2 linked regions of the Arabidopsis thaliana genome follow. The protein of the gene in region 1 purifies or fractionates together with the protein of each later gene. This does not show direct contact. Each region holds a gene or a part of one and is shown on either strand. Other genes may lie near its edges.

Region 1 (7,619 bases):
CAGCCCAAAAAACACAGTATAAATACACGATTAAAATAAATCCTAAATATATTTTTCTCTTTACTGTTCAGTGTGACAGAGATGCCGCCGACTCTCGCAAAAAAAAAGCAAAATGCAGAACTATAAATTTTTTCTGAGGTATGAGACGTTCTTGTATTCTCAATCTGATTACGGACGTAGATCGAATGTCACATAAAATAAACAAAAAACATAAAATTATTAAAAAATAGAGTAAATTAAATAAAAAGTACAAATTATTTTATTATTATTTAAACTAACTAACTAAAATATATGTAAACATTTTCCAACATCTCGTATGCAGTTATATAAAAACAAATAAACAATGGTACCATCATCATATTGTAGACAACAACGGCTATATTGTGTGTTTGGTAATTTTTACATTTTTATGTTTCTAGAATAAAATTTGAATGATGGCAACTTTCTACGTAACTATTCAAATTGTTGAACAAGTAATCTTCCAATCCGTATCGAAACGACTTAGTCGTGGTCTATCTGATGAAGTAACTATGTTTTATATTTTAATGTATATGATTTCATTTCCGTATTTCCAACTTCCAAGTATTAAAATAAGATCTTCTCGAACTATCTTTAGTCTCAGCTCTGAAAGTAAAGTACCTCGTGCTTCAATGTTCAAATGATATTACTTTTTTTGACGCTCAAATGATTAACTGTGGAAACTGTTATCTGAAATTTTAATTTGATACATTGTTCTTATCTACTTGATTCATATATTAGTACAAATTTTTGTTTTGGTCCGACAACAATACTACTTGAGAAAAAAAAAACGTTGTATTTCCCCAAAAAAAAAACAATCATTAATTGGTAACAAATTTGTTTGTTATATAGTTCCTCTCTTTTTTTAGTCGTTCATCGTATTCATCGAGAAATAAACACATGAATTCAGAACTAGATAATACATTCCATTACCGCTATAAAATAATGTTGTAGTCTCTATCTTCCAGTTCCATGTATTCTTTGGTCGACGAACAAGACTTTTTTTTTTTTTAAGAACAAGACCAATCTCCAGTTCGTTCTTTGTTTGACTTTTGAAGAGTATAAAATAAATTAAGTAAAACAATCTCCTTTTTCCGTTGGATTGTCGATTTAAATATCTTACAGAAAAAGACAAACAAAATTAAAGAATTACGTAAAATCTATTGCGTGTTTATGAACAATGCACAAAACATCACCGAACACTAAACCGGTAGCCTAAGGGAACCGCTAGTTGAACCAACTGTACCGATATGTTGAACTGACGATGTTCCTTCACCGTCCTTATTATTGACTTCAACTCTCGGCGAAGGAACCGGCGTCGTATTCCTCCAGAGAAACGATGGGTTTCTAAGAAAAGCCCACCGGTCTGCTCGTACCGAGTCACCGCTCGGACTTGTTACTGAATTTCCTCTAACACTACCGGTACCACCTAGCCTAATCGAACCATCATCCCGGTTCCTCCATAGAAACGACGGAGTTTTACGGAACAACCACCGGTCCGATTTAGCCCTCGACCGGTCAACCTGTTTACCACTCCTCGAGCTTCCTCCTCTCGGTAAAACAAAAACACTATTCGACCGGTTCAATTTCCAATTCGCCATTATCTTCTTCCTTAATTCTTCCGGTACTCTAAGCGTAAACCGGTCGGTACTCTCTCCCGGTAAAACCACCGAATGCCCTGTCGTATGCGACCTCGGGAATTTAACACGTGGAAGTTCCACCACCGGTACAGGAACCGCCGATTGCTGCTGCGCCTCAAGATCGGTTTCCACCACCACTTCCGGTTCAGGCGTCTGTTCAGCAAGATTAGTCCGACAAACCGGACAAGTCACGTGACCTTGAAGCCACGCGCCGATACAATGAGGATGAAACACGTGATCACATTTAGGCAACAGACGCAGCGTTTCATCGTCTTCAAACTCATTCAAACAAATCGCACACTCCAACGCTCCTTTACCAATCTTCTGTGTCTTCACTTCTGAGTAAACAAAAGTCGGAAACGTCTCGATCGTCTCCGCGTCTAACCCACGCGCAACCGTTGCGTTCGTCACTCTCCTCCTAGCTCCTCCTGCAGGAGTAACGCTACCGTCTACTGCGCCAGTACAGTGACGTATATAGACGGTGAAGAAGCCCATGAAGAAGAGAGCTGCGATGACAACTACAACGACAACAGCCATGGCTGGACTTAGACTGCCGCTGTAAGCATACGGGTCATGTCTCTGGTCCGGGGTTCCGGGTTGACCCGCCGACACGGATAATAGTAGAAACAAGACAAGAACTGGTAAAGAGATGTGTTTTATGGGATCCATTATTAGTTCTGGAGTCCCAAAAAGTTAGTTTTTTTTTTTGGTTTAATATTGTGAGGAATAAGGATCTGAAGTTTATAGGGAGGTTTTGAAAAGTTTGAAAAAGTCGTGGAGAAGAAGCGAGGAAGTTAGGGGATATGTCATAAGCAAATGTGTTACTTATTGAATGCCACGTGGACGGTCAGAAGTTTCCAATTGGAGATGGAAGTGAAAAGTCATACAAATCAAAATAGTTCGATGACTTCGAAGAAGTTGTTGAAATGGTCCTAAACTCTGTATATGTATGTATGAAAAGTATCTTTTATTTCATCTAAAATGGTCATTTTCATATCTCTTTTTTATAATTTACTATTTCACCGGCAAGTTTCATTCATTCGTTTATTACAGAAATGTTAATGTTTTGAGCTAGTTTACAATACATACTAAAATCTTATTCAAGATAAGAGGACCATGAATTTGGAACATGTTAATGATATGTGATCACACGAAGAAAAAATTACTTGAAAAAATTAACAAATTTATGTTTACTAGTCTTAGCCGTCATCATTTATAGACGACTACTTTGATATTCATATTCTTCTAGAAAGTCTTTAGCCATCATAGGTCTATCCTGATCACTAACTCAAATATGCTTCTTTTTTTTTTTAATTACAATTTCTGTTGACTTTGAATTGGCAAATCCAATCCGTTGGGAATAAAAATTGGCAATCTGCACAAAGACAAAATGATCTGCAATTTTTCAATTTTACCTTTTAACCAATAACAAATCTCGTGGAATCACACTATTTATTATATGTGTGGTCACTATAGTCCCAAAAGCAAACCAAATTCATTTGATCTTTGATTTAAATTAGCAAAAGTTATGTCTCCAACATGAACTAATTTTTTTTTCTCTCTATAAGTTACTTTTTTGTTATCACCTATTTTAGTCGATATAATATTTGAAAATGACATGGAAAGTGAAAAACTAGATCCATTAGGGAGTTTACTACTTAAACCAAGTGTCTTTACTTACTAATAATGTTATTTTCTTATGTTTTTAGATCAAAGCATATAGTAGTCTAGTATTTGGTATTTACACTGTTGTTATGTTATCAGGATTCAAACTCCTTTAATGCATATTTAAAAAATTCATTGTGGGAGGTTTAAATTTATGCTTCTCAACCCAAACTAAGGACTTTATAGTTTTTTATATATACTAGAACTCAAAGCAAAAATTGATGATATTATGGTTTTGTTTATTGATCAGCATTATCGTTATTGTGGAAAAAAAAATTGAAAAGTCAAACAAGAGAGCCTGACTTGACTTGGATTTGCGACCAACTGTGATTACATTGACCCACAGGCTACAACAGGTCAACAGCATAATATGAGAGAGTTTGAGAGCTAAAACAGCACGCACTTTCTATTCAAAAACGTAAAACACCACAGCTTTCCTCTGAAATACGTGCCGTTTTCCTCGTATGCAATGTTTTTTTCCTGCAATCACAAAACCTTTTCAGTACTTCAAAAATAAAAAACCAATGATGAAATTATGTTAACGTTGATTTCATTTTTCCAAAATAAGGTTCCTTTTGTTCAACGTTCTTGTTAGAGTTTACGAATCTAGATGAACACATTTAACAAGCCTGGTTTACCATTCGTGTTCTACGATCAAACACATGGTTCAAGGTTCTTGACTTCTTGGTAAGTAGGTATTGGGACACCTGAACCATCCGTCAGTTTCTTGTAAGCATTTTGAAGTCTTCTTGTTACCGGTCCTACTTTTCCTTCACCGATCACACGCCCATCAATTTTCACAACCTAAAACCAATAACCTCGATAAATAAGCGGCACAAAAACCAACCAGAAAGTGTTTCACAAGAAGGAAATCTTCACTCAAAACATTGAGATTTTCATATTCCTTGATTGTAAAATAGAGATTGAGTATGTACCGGGCTGAGTTCTCCCATAGTTCCTGTAGTCCATACCTAGAAAGTTTTGATATGGATTGATAACACTTAGTTAGTGATCATTTGAGATTCTAAGATTAAGGAAAAGATGAGGAAACCTCATCAGCTGTATGGAATTCCGACAAGCTGATTCTACGTTCTTCTAAGATAAAGTTCTCTTTCACCACCAGTTCCATCACCTGGACATGGATTAGAAAATAAGACTGGTCATGTTATAGTCCTGAAATATGTTATCAGAAAGAATATGAATCTTCTTCTCTCTTACAGTAGCTCGAGTAATGCCGGGGAGACAATAATCTGCGTGAGGAGTGAGTACTCGGTCTTTCTTCACCATGAACTGCACCAACAGAGTTCCTCCACCATGTTAGTTTCCAAATGCTACACAGAGATTCAGTACGGTTCTTTGAGAGTAAAAAATGTTCAATCCGAGGATCTTACAATGTTGGTTGCATTGGTTTCAGACACAAACCCATCCTTGTCAAGCATGATTGCATCATCGACGTTGGCATTGTTGCTTTCAATCTGTGTCATTACCAATAAAAACATCTCACAATGACGTCCCTAATAACACATGATCACGGATTCAACTCGATGACAGGCAAAGGATGGTACCTTTGCAAGTATATTATTGAGGAGGTTGTTGTGATGAATCTTGGAATCTAAATTCTGGAAAGAAAGTTTAGAAGAAGATTAAACAACAATGGACAAAAACACTTCTGAGCAAATGTGTTTCTCAAATAAATATAAATGCAAGACAATGAGAGCAATTTTATACGTTGGGTGAATTCCGGCGTGTAGTTGCAGTCACCAGCACAATTCCGCCATCATTGTCATATACCGGAGGCTTCCATTCAGCAAGCACTACACAATATTTTGAAAAACGATAATACTCAAAAAACCATATTCCACAGAGTTTAGTTGTATGCTTGCAAGAGAAAAATCTGAAACTTTACCGATCAAAGTACATCCATAACGGTTAAATGCAGGGCTCATTCCAGATGTGACCTTAAAAGAAACAAAATTGATAGCTGTTTAGGTTTAAAATGATTGAAATGGAAACAGAAAGAAGCATCTTCTTGCATATAATTTACTTTGAAGTTGGTCAAAGTGTGATTAATACCTTTTTGCCTCGAGTTAGAGACAATCTTATATGTGTATTGTCAAACATCCCATTGGTTATGAGAGTTCTGAAGATGGCTTCTTTTATCTGTGCATTTTCAGTTGTGATAGCTTCATTGAAAAGTCCCATATTCCAAACAATGACAATGATTTTTATCTTCATCATATACTTACCTCCTCGCGGGTTGGGACATTGTTGAAAGCCAGAGCCTTTGCGGAATCAGACAACCTATATGCAACACTTCAACATATTACTAAGAATGATTCGAAGAAGTACTTTCTCTTACTTGCTTCTTACCGGTCTAGATGTTCTTCAAGCTTAAATACTTTCCCTTTGTATATACGAAGACCTTCCCATACAGAGTCACCGCCTTGCACGACCGAGTCAAAAACAGAAACCTTAAGCAAGAATAAAGACAAATAACATCAGAACATAAGCATAAACAAGAAATAACAAACAGAGATCCATGTATGGCTCAAGCACCTTCGCCATCTCTCGTGGCACAATCTCATCACCAACCCAAGCAAGAAGTTTAGCATTTTCAGGAACTGGGAGACTGGGAGGAGGTAAGGTGCTGGACAAGAGCGATGACTTGTGCTTCATGTGGCACCTCAGAATGTTGTACAGCGGTAAACATTGCTCCAGCAAATCGTAATGCATTAAAGGGAAAGTCTGAAAGCAAAACAAAACACATTGTAGTTTGAATGATGTCTGAGTTTCAGGATCTTAAATTGCAGCGAAAACAGGTCTTGTACCTGAGGGTACTTCTGGGGCGACGAGAACCCTGTTGATTTATGAAGAGTCTCGTACCACCATGGAGCCCAAAGTCCATCTTCTGGTATAGGACCAGCCTCCCATCTTTAAGAGAACGCAAACAATAAAGATACAGTCATTGCTTTTGCCATTAACTGTCAAATCGAAGAGATCACTAGAGCATAGAGGGTCTACTTAAGCATAGAGGCTTGAAAGGGGATCTCTAAGTCATCACAAAGACTGCGTAGTGTAGCCTGAAAATAGAAGAATGGCACAGAACATAAGAATCTTCTTACATAAAAGAAATGGTTTCCTTGTGAAAATTTCATAATATAGCAATGAAACCTCGGGATCTCGCTGGAGCTCATCTGCATCGATGATTGCTGGTGGTGTTCCCATCTGACAGAGATCACTGTATATCGATACTAACTCTCCCAGTCCCAATTCGTGAAACGATGAAGGGTGTATCTTCTCAAAAGAAGGCTGCAAGAAAAGACAAAGAAACGAAAGCAAAGAGAGGAAACATCTCAAACCAGAAAGGATCAGACCCATAAACGTCAAGACAAAACCAACCCAGAAGAATCTCCACGAAAACATAACACCAGAAGTGAGTTTGAGAAGCTTACCAATATGTTGAGGGGATTGCGTATCAATATAAAGTGCTTCCCTTCACTCATTAGTTCACTTGGCAAACCAAGAAGTCGCTGTTTCGATATATGCTGTGCAGAGAAAGGCCAGAAACACAAATTTATCCCAAACACAGTGTGGTATAGAACAAAATTGAAGTCTCTATATCAGAAAGAGAAGTGAGTATAACCTTACAAAACCTATATTTCTTCTTTCCTGGACCATAAATGATATCCTTCACCACCTTTTCTCCATCACACTCCTATTAGAAAACGCGACGATTATACTATTTCTCCTCTATGCCTAAATTGACTAATGTGAATTAACTTACCATCTTAGAGAGAAGCTCATCTTTGTAAGGCCTATCAACACCCGTAGACTTGAGGAACGCAGCGTATAATGGCTCATCAAGCACTTCAATGTCATCTCTCTGAAGAAATTTAAACCAAAGCATCTTGCAAGTTACAACTCACACCATACATAGTTTCACAATAACTCAAAAATGTAAAAAACTTTTATTCGGAACTGTTTATCATTGAGGACACATAGATGTTTTGAAGCCAAGAAGAATATTTAAAACCAAAAATTTTGATCCTTTTTTCTTTCTTTCCTGGTATCAATACACAGAGAACTATTTCTCTACTGCTCAGAAGGTGGGATTCAATCACTCAAACAAAATTTAGATCATCAATAAATTTTCTATGATAAAACAGTACCTGGGCAAATCTGTTCCATTTCCAGGAAAAATCTCTGAGTAAGGTAAGAAAACAAAAAGAGTACCTGGGCAAAGGAGTACATGAGAGTGGTGCTGAGTGATCTTGGAGCAGACCATGCGTGTATCAC
Region 2 (7,566 bases), on another chromosome or scaffold:
ATCACAATATGGAGAGTCGGTTTCGATCATCATTCTCTCTACTGGTATTCCTTTCATTACCTCAAGATTCTCAGCTGTTTTCAACGAGCACCCGTTCACACCTGCAGATAGAATACACATCAGCAAAACAAAAGACCAGAACAGTAATTCAAGATATTCTGACCAAATCTGATCCTACAAACGCCTAGGCGAGTTAAAGCCTACAGGCATAGTCTCTAATAGAAAAAAAGTGGAAGTCTTTACCAAGGTACATTTTATCGAAAGAGAGAAGCTTATCGCGGTCCGACGCACTACCAGTAAATGAATGAGCAACTCCTCCAGTGAACCTGAAAGTGAATCATGGGATTAAGATGACTAAAAAATCAATCCAGGAAGTTTATCTAAACACAACTCGAAAAATCATTAGCCTGCATGTTCACCTATTCTTGTTTCTCTCAACAATTTCACAGAAATCTTCAGCAGCTGCTCGCATGTGTAGGAACATTGGCAACTTTGTAGCATATGCTAGTTCAAATTGCTTCTCAAAATACCTTTCTCAACAAAGAAAACATAGGAAGATATTTCAAATAGAAGAAAACAATGTAAACATGAAACTTTTTATGATCAAACTTACTTCTTCTGGATATCAACTGAGCAAAATTGAAGCCTGTCATAATCCAATCCACATTCACCAATTGCTACCACCTAAATCGATCATAAAGTACAAGAGTGTTCAGTGAATGGTTTTGATTACGATCAACACGAAAGCGATACTAAAGCAATTCAAAGTATCTACTAGAGCAGAAGAAATAGCACCTTCCCTTTCTGCATTCCTTCTTTGGCTAATGAAAAAAGAGCCTGGTAATGCTTCTCCGGATCACCACTCTCTTCAAACTCCTAATGGATAAACAACAAAACATAACATTAAAGAACAATCCAAACAGAAGATTATAATTTAGATTTCAAGAAACTCTCGAGTATGTAAAGCAAAAAAACTGACATTGCATCTAGTTGGATGAACACCAACAGTGCAAAACAGCCTACCTGCAAAAAATGTACATCAATCAAAAACTTCTAAAAGACTAAAAACTTTCTGAAAAAAAGATCTATAAAACAAACAAACCATCAGTCTCTGCAATTGCAAGAGCTTCTCTTGATTCTTCCAATGACCCACCAGTTACCTATTCAGGAAAATTGGAATCTGAATTACTCAAAGTCTATCACTTGTAATCATTCAAACAAAAAGAATCAATAAGGAGTGACTCAACTATGATTCTATCGACTCCAGCAGACCAAGCCCGGTTCAAGACAGTGGCAATATCCGGAACATGACAGTTCTTGCCATGGTAAAGTCCTTTGAACATCCCATCTGTTTCAATTAGACTAAAGAATTAATATGGTCTGTGCAATAAATTGATCAGAGAAGGACATGTTCACAAAGTGTTTGTGGAAATGCCTCAACTAACCTGTGAAGTTAACGGCTATGTCTGATCTTACACAAACACATCAAAAGAAAAGCAAAAGAAACAACAGTTGAGTTACACAGAATCTTGTACATTAGAAAAAAGAGAATCAATCGAAGAAATTTATTTTGAGTGATTCCTAATTTTGACTTGCCTATCATCTTCAATGACGCCATTGCGAGAGAAAGTGAAACAATGGCACAACACAATGAAACTTTTTTTTTTCTTACGCTTTGTATGACTAATCGGCTTTTCCCACGGCCCAATATGGTTCGATAAATTATGGGAGTACGAAGATAAAAGTATTTATGAATAATTACTGTTAGACTCCCATAAGAATTTGGTATCAATGAAAGGCAACATTTCAGTGAAAAAAAAAAAAAGACTCCCATAAGAATAATTGTCTAAATTATTTATATAGAGAACAAATTAATCTAAGTTTCATAATTTAAAATAAATATAAATGTAAATAATACTATAGAGATAACTGTAAATAATCTATACTTAAGTATGATAATATTTGATATATATTTCAATTTTTTTAATTTCCATATTCTCTGGAAATTCATTTTGACCATCGATTTTGATAGATCTCTCCGAATAATAATATCATAGACGGTCAAATTAACTTAAGTCGATTGTAAAAAATAAGCAAATCGTTCCATAATAAAACAAAGAAATGTGGTGATCGCATTATATATACACAGAGTTTAACCAACCAAAACATTACAAAAACATTAAAGACAAAATACTGTAAAATAAAAAACAATCTTCAAAACATAGATATGCTCATGCATAGACAGAGGGAACCTCAAAAAAAAAATTATTTAGCGTAGTAGCCGCCGATTCACAGCCGGAGGTGGCGGTGGCTGAGCTTGAACCGGAGTAGCTTGACGAGGTGCACCTCCACCTCCCCCACCATTACTCTCCCAAGGCTTAACAGTAAACACCACAATTAAAACCACAATAATGAGCAATAGCAAAATGGCAAAGCAAGTCCACTTCCGTGTGTTCTTCTGATAAAACCGTGCCTTAACAAGCCGGTCCGCACCAGACCGAACAAGCGAGTTAGCTCGTTTGACGTTGCCTTCAATGTCATCAAGCTGTGCACCCTGATGCTCAACCAACACAGCCATATCAAGAAACACTTGGTGCAACTCATTCAAACTCTTCTCAATATCTTTCACTGCGTCGTGCCTCTCCTGTATCTCGTTAATAGTGTCCAAAATCCTACCACGACCTTGTTCTTGAATCGCTTTCTGCAAAAATGTTTCACTTTCACCTACAATATAATTCCAATTTATATCAATATCATGATTTAACCAAATTATAAACTAACAATTTCTTAAAAAGGTTTAACAACTTGCGCTATTTTCTTGCTCTTTAACGTTTAGAATTTGAATTTTGAAATTGACCAAAAAAATTGTTAAGAAAGAATTGGAAAAAATTATTACCTGTGGAGATGAGACGCTCGAGGGTAGCTTCGTCGGGATATTCGCCGGTGACGGTGAAGCACATTCTCCCAACCGTCTCTTTGTACTCATTCGTGATCGTTTCTCTCACTCGACTAAATTTTTCCATCTCATCCTTCAGCTTCTTCCTCAACCCGTTAACCACCGAAGTTCTTTGCCGGTCCGACGACGAACCCGGTCCACTTTCCGGTAAACTTCGGTTGACTTCATTAGCCCGATCTAAAGCCTCGAGGTTTCCTTTCAAGCGCCTCGCCGTCTTAAGCGCAGCAGTGACGTCAGCGTCCATCTTCTTCTTCAGCTCCTTCACCGCGTTAGCGTTATGAAGCGTCTTGCTCTGTTCGTTGCTCGATCGGAGGTTGTGACAGAGACGATCTAGCTCTTTAAGGTCTTCGTTTACAACCTCCACGTCGAGGAAGAACGTGTCTAGGTTGTTACCACCGTGGCAACTTCCGCCGGAGACTTTCGCTTTTGACATCTCGATGTTGTGTGAGTGCGGCGGCGATGAACCGTCCGCGACGGAGGTTTTAAACGAGCCGGAGAGAAGATCGTTCATGGCTTAAGAGATCTTCGATTTTGAAAGTTGAAAGGAATTGAGAAAAGTAAAATCTTTTGATCAAAATCTGTTTGTTACAATTGTATTTATATTGACGAGTCAAATATGGAGAAAAAGAAAAGGAAAGTTTTAAACATTAGAACTGAAAATAAAAAAGGAAAAGTCTGATTAAAACGCGGTTTTGAAATTAAAGGATGCTTCGTTTGTTGTCAATGAAGTAGTATCTACCTAACCGGGTTTTTTAGTGAGTGAACCGAAACACGTTTGTCAATAAATCCGTTTAACCAAAACAACTTTGTTGGGTTAACTAAACCACGTCAAGTACCAGATTTTATGTGTGCTGACTCGGTCAAAATTTCATGATCTAGTCTAACAATAAAATAGAATTTCTAGATGATTGTTTGAACCGGTCGGTTTGATGAAGTTAATTGAATTGCTGAAGGGAAACCAGACCAGAATTTCCAAGAAAGAGTGGATAAGGCTAGGATGAATGTGATGTATTGATATTTTAGGCAAAGTGGAAGATTTTAGAATTCATAGTCGCCGGAGACAATTAACACGAAGGTTTGAATTCGTCGCTGTCCATTTCGAATATTTTAATGCTAAGTTTTTTGTGGTGAAATTGATATATAATAATCTTTTGTCCAACCATTAGTTTTTTTTTGTTTCTTCTCCAATTTGTCTTTGAAATAATAGTTTTGGGATTGGACAAAATAAAAAGTAATAGGTAAAACTGAACCAAAACAAACCTGTTTATATCGAAATTGAATCAAATTTCTTTTATTGGGTCAACCACCTTGTATTATGCAAATTGAAACTCTAATGGTGACGTACGACAACACTAAGACCATGTTATCCGGCATGTCCTGGTCTAAAGTTTAATATTAAACCGAGTAGTTAATTTTAGAACTAAAATATGTTCAACTTGGTTATTATTAAGATAAAAAAATTTATTATATAAAATTTAGTTTTTAAAAATAGTAGAGGCTAGAGACACATATTTAGAGGTGTCAAAATGGGTAACCCAACTCAACCCAACTCATAATCAAATGAGTTTAGAGTTAAATGAGTTATGTGTTAACTCAACTCATTTTGTTAAATGGGTTGGGTCAACTCATAACTCATTTAATTTGATGGGTTGAGTTGTTAAATGGGTTAACCCATTTAATTAATAATTTACTTAATTACTATTATAAAATAATAATAAATAATTATCATTATTAATTCATTATCATCAAACTTAGGATATTTACGGATTCTACTTTTTATGGGTTTACGTTTTTTATGGGAAAATCTTGGGTTTACGTTTTTGGTGGGAAAATCACGGGTTTACGTTTTTGGTGGGAAAATCACGGGTTTACGTTTTTGGTGGGAAAATCACGGGTTTACGTTTTTGGTGGAAAAATTACGAGTTTACGTTTTTTGGCGAGAAAATTACGAGTTTACGTTTTTAGCGTCAAAATTACGAGTTTACGTTTTTGGCGGGAAAACCACGGGTTTATGTTTTTGGCGGAAAAATCTCGGGTTTACGTTTTTGGCGGGAAAATCACGGGTTTACGTTTTTGGTGGGAAAATCACGGGTTTACGTTTTTGGAAAAAAATTATGGGTTTACGTTTTTGGCGGAAAAATTACGGGTTTCCGTTTTTGGCGGGAAATTATGGATTTACGTTTTTGGCGGGAAAATCTCTGGTTTACGTTTTTGGCGGAAAAATCAGGGGTTTACGTTTTTGGCGGAAAAATCACGGGTTTACGTTTTTGGCGAGAAAATCACGGATTTACGTTTTTGGCGGGAAAATCACGGGTTTATGTTTTTTGGTGGAAAATTTACGAGTTTACTTTTTCTCAATTTCATCGCATGTATATTTAAGAAATTTGGAAAAATATTAATTTTATTAAATTGGTTTAGATGTGTTGGTTAGACTTAAATTGACATTGATTTAGAAATTTTAGTTGGTTTAATTCAATTTTACAAAACTTGATGGGTTAATTGGGTAAACCATTGAAACCATTAATCATTACAACCCAACTCATTTTACTCATCAAACCAATTGACTCATCAACTCATTTGACCCATCAACTCATTTGAGTCAAAATTTTCAACTCATTAGGGTTTATGGGTTGAGTTGAGTTGACCAATAAATTTTGACCCATTGACACCCCTACACATATCAAATAATTTTAACCTATCTAAATTTTTTTTATAAAAATTACTAACTAACATGTCACGAGTTCACGACACATATCAATAAAAATATTAGATGTCTTCATGTATTAAGTCTAAATTTGTTAATACATTTACTGAGAAAATGAAAAAGTTAATAACTCTATATGAAAAAGGAGGTTATATATAAGTAAAAAAGAAATTTGATAATAAATTAAGAAAAAAAAAAACACAATTTGTAACTATATTAGAAAAAAGGTAAAAGTTCCTTATCCTAACAAAAAAGAAATTGTTGATATATTGAACTATTTATCTAATTCTATTGATTGTTTTTTTCCATATATATATTCCCAAGAAAATAAAATAGGGATCCTTTCAATTATATTTACAATTATATAAAAAGTTTGTATTAATTAACCAATAGACGGATAAAAAGTTGGGCCATAGTTTAACAAACAAACTATCTTTATCCAATGAGAAGCCCAAACCGGCCCATTTTAAACATCCTAGTAAAACCCATCTCCCGATCTTAAACCATCGGTTGATACCACCGACACGCGAACAAGACGACGACGCAGCGATGGGAAAAACTTCGGGAGCGAAACAGGCGACTGTGGTGGTCGCAGCGATGGCGTTAGGATGGTTAGCCATAGAGATCGCTTTCAAGCCTTTCCTCGATAAATTCCGCTCCTCAATCGACAAATCTGACCCAACCAAAGACCCCGATGACTTCGACACCGCCGCTACTGCAACCACATCCAAAGAGGGTTTGTAAAATTAGGGTTTTATCAGATTAAAGAGATTTACTGATTTCAATCCATTTCATGTAACTGATGAATCCATGTGTTCTTAATCATAACAGTTTGAGCAATTTCTTTTGAGTCATGATCGTTTATTTGTCATCAATTTTTGGAAAAGTCTGCTATATTGAATCTGTTATTGTAGTTCAATCGCATAACAGAATCATTAATCTAATCAATATTCATACATGATTTGTTACACCGTTTTTCGTATTTTGTATAAAGTTTCGAGCTGTATTATTAAGGTGGAAGAAGAGATTAGGAATCCGATAAGTACTTAAATTGTTTTAAGTTATGATTCGATTATACGTATCTCTTGAAAAGAAGCATGTTAGAGCAAAATATCAAACTTGACAATTACAAGATTGCTTTATAGATAAAGCAGATTAGCTAAATAAGTATAGGGAGACGATAACATGTGGTGATACAAAGATGTGTCAGATTGATTGTTTAACATCATTTAGTTGAGAAAACTTTGGACGACGACTGACTTCATCATATGAGAAAACACCAAGAAAATGTACTACTAGTCTCTAATGGAGAGACTTGGTTATAGAAGTTCATTGTTTAATTTGAATATTTACTCCAATTCAGGAAAATATCAAAACCAGAAAATTACATGAAAATTACTATAGATGGTAGCTTTGCAATGATTATTGTCCGGTTGGATAGTTTCATTGACATTTAGGATTCAGATTATCTCTTTTATCATTATCAGTTTGTTAAGGCAAGAGTTTTCTAATACATGCTTAAGTCCTAATCATCAGATATTTCTTCTTCAAACCTTTTTTGTTTTGTTTTGATAATTTGCCCCATTTTGTACTCTAGGTTTTTCCACAAAGATCCCAAACAGAGATTAAAAGATGACAATGGCATGGACCTTTCAATGCTTTGTTTTTTTGTTAAATTAGATATAAACCTTTCCAAACAGTAAATTATCAAATTCATTAACAAGTATCTATATCTCTCTAGTAGAGGTAGACCACAACTTAAAAATCTCCTCAAGTCATGGTGGGTCTAACTTGTAGGACTTATATGGGCCAAATTGTATAACTATATCATGTTAAGCTGAAACTGAAAGTAATTGGTTCCTTTTAAAAGCTTAGCCAAAAAAACTTCAAAATGTCTGAGTCAAAT

Evidence for each region. The genes of interacting proteins can lie anywhere in the genome.
Region 2: the proteins of CNI1 (region 1) and SYP122 purify together in Arabidopsis thaliana (affinity purification with western blotting, with the first as the bait; one study listed by BioGRID). This does not show direct contact.

Annotation. Positions count from the first base shown.
Region 1 is NC_003076.8:9,678,827-9,686,445, reverse strand, and holds CNI1 (carbon/nitrogen insensitive 1), read right to left. Parts: upstream 2,459-7,619; 5' UTR 2,328-2,458; coding exon 1,221-2,327; 3' UTR 704-1,220; downstream 1-703. Other genes in the region: AT5G27410 (D-aminoacid aminotransferase-like PLP-dependent enzymes superfamily protein), read right to left, coding at 3,978-4,127, 4,259-4,294, 4,375-4,455, 4,542-4,613, 4,715-4,798, 4,889-4,942, 5,052-5,137, 5,230-5,281 and 11 more. UniProt on the Arabidopsis thaliana protein: E3 ubiquitin-protein ligase that is required for the plant C/N response during seedling growth transition. May be involved in the early steps of the plant defense signaling pathway.
Region 2 is NC_003074.8:19,423,566-19,431,131, forward strand, and holds SYP122 (syntaxin of plants 122), read right to left. Parts: upstream 3,666-7,566; 5' UTR 3,468-3,665; coding exon 2,897-3,467; intron 2,725-2,896; coding exon 2,270-2,724; 3' UTR 2,067-2,269; downstream 1-2,066. Other genes in the region: AT3G52390 (TatD related DNase), read right to left, coding at 1-101, 244-326, 420-530, 614-684, 796-876, 980-1,023, 1,103-1,160, 1,248-1,348 and 2 more; OEP7 (outer envelope membrane protein 7), read left to right, coding at 6,210-6,404. UniProt on the Arabidopsis thaliana protein: Vesicle trafficking protein that functions in the secretory pathway.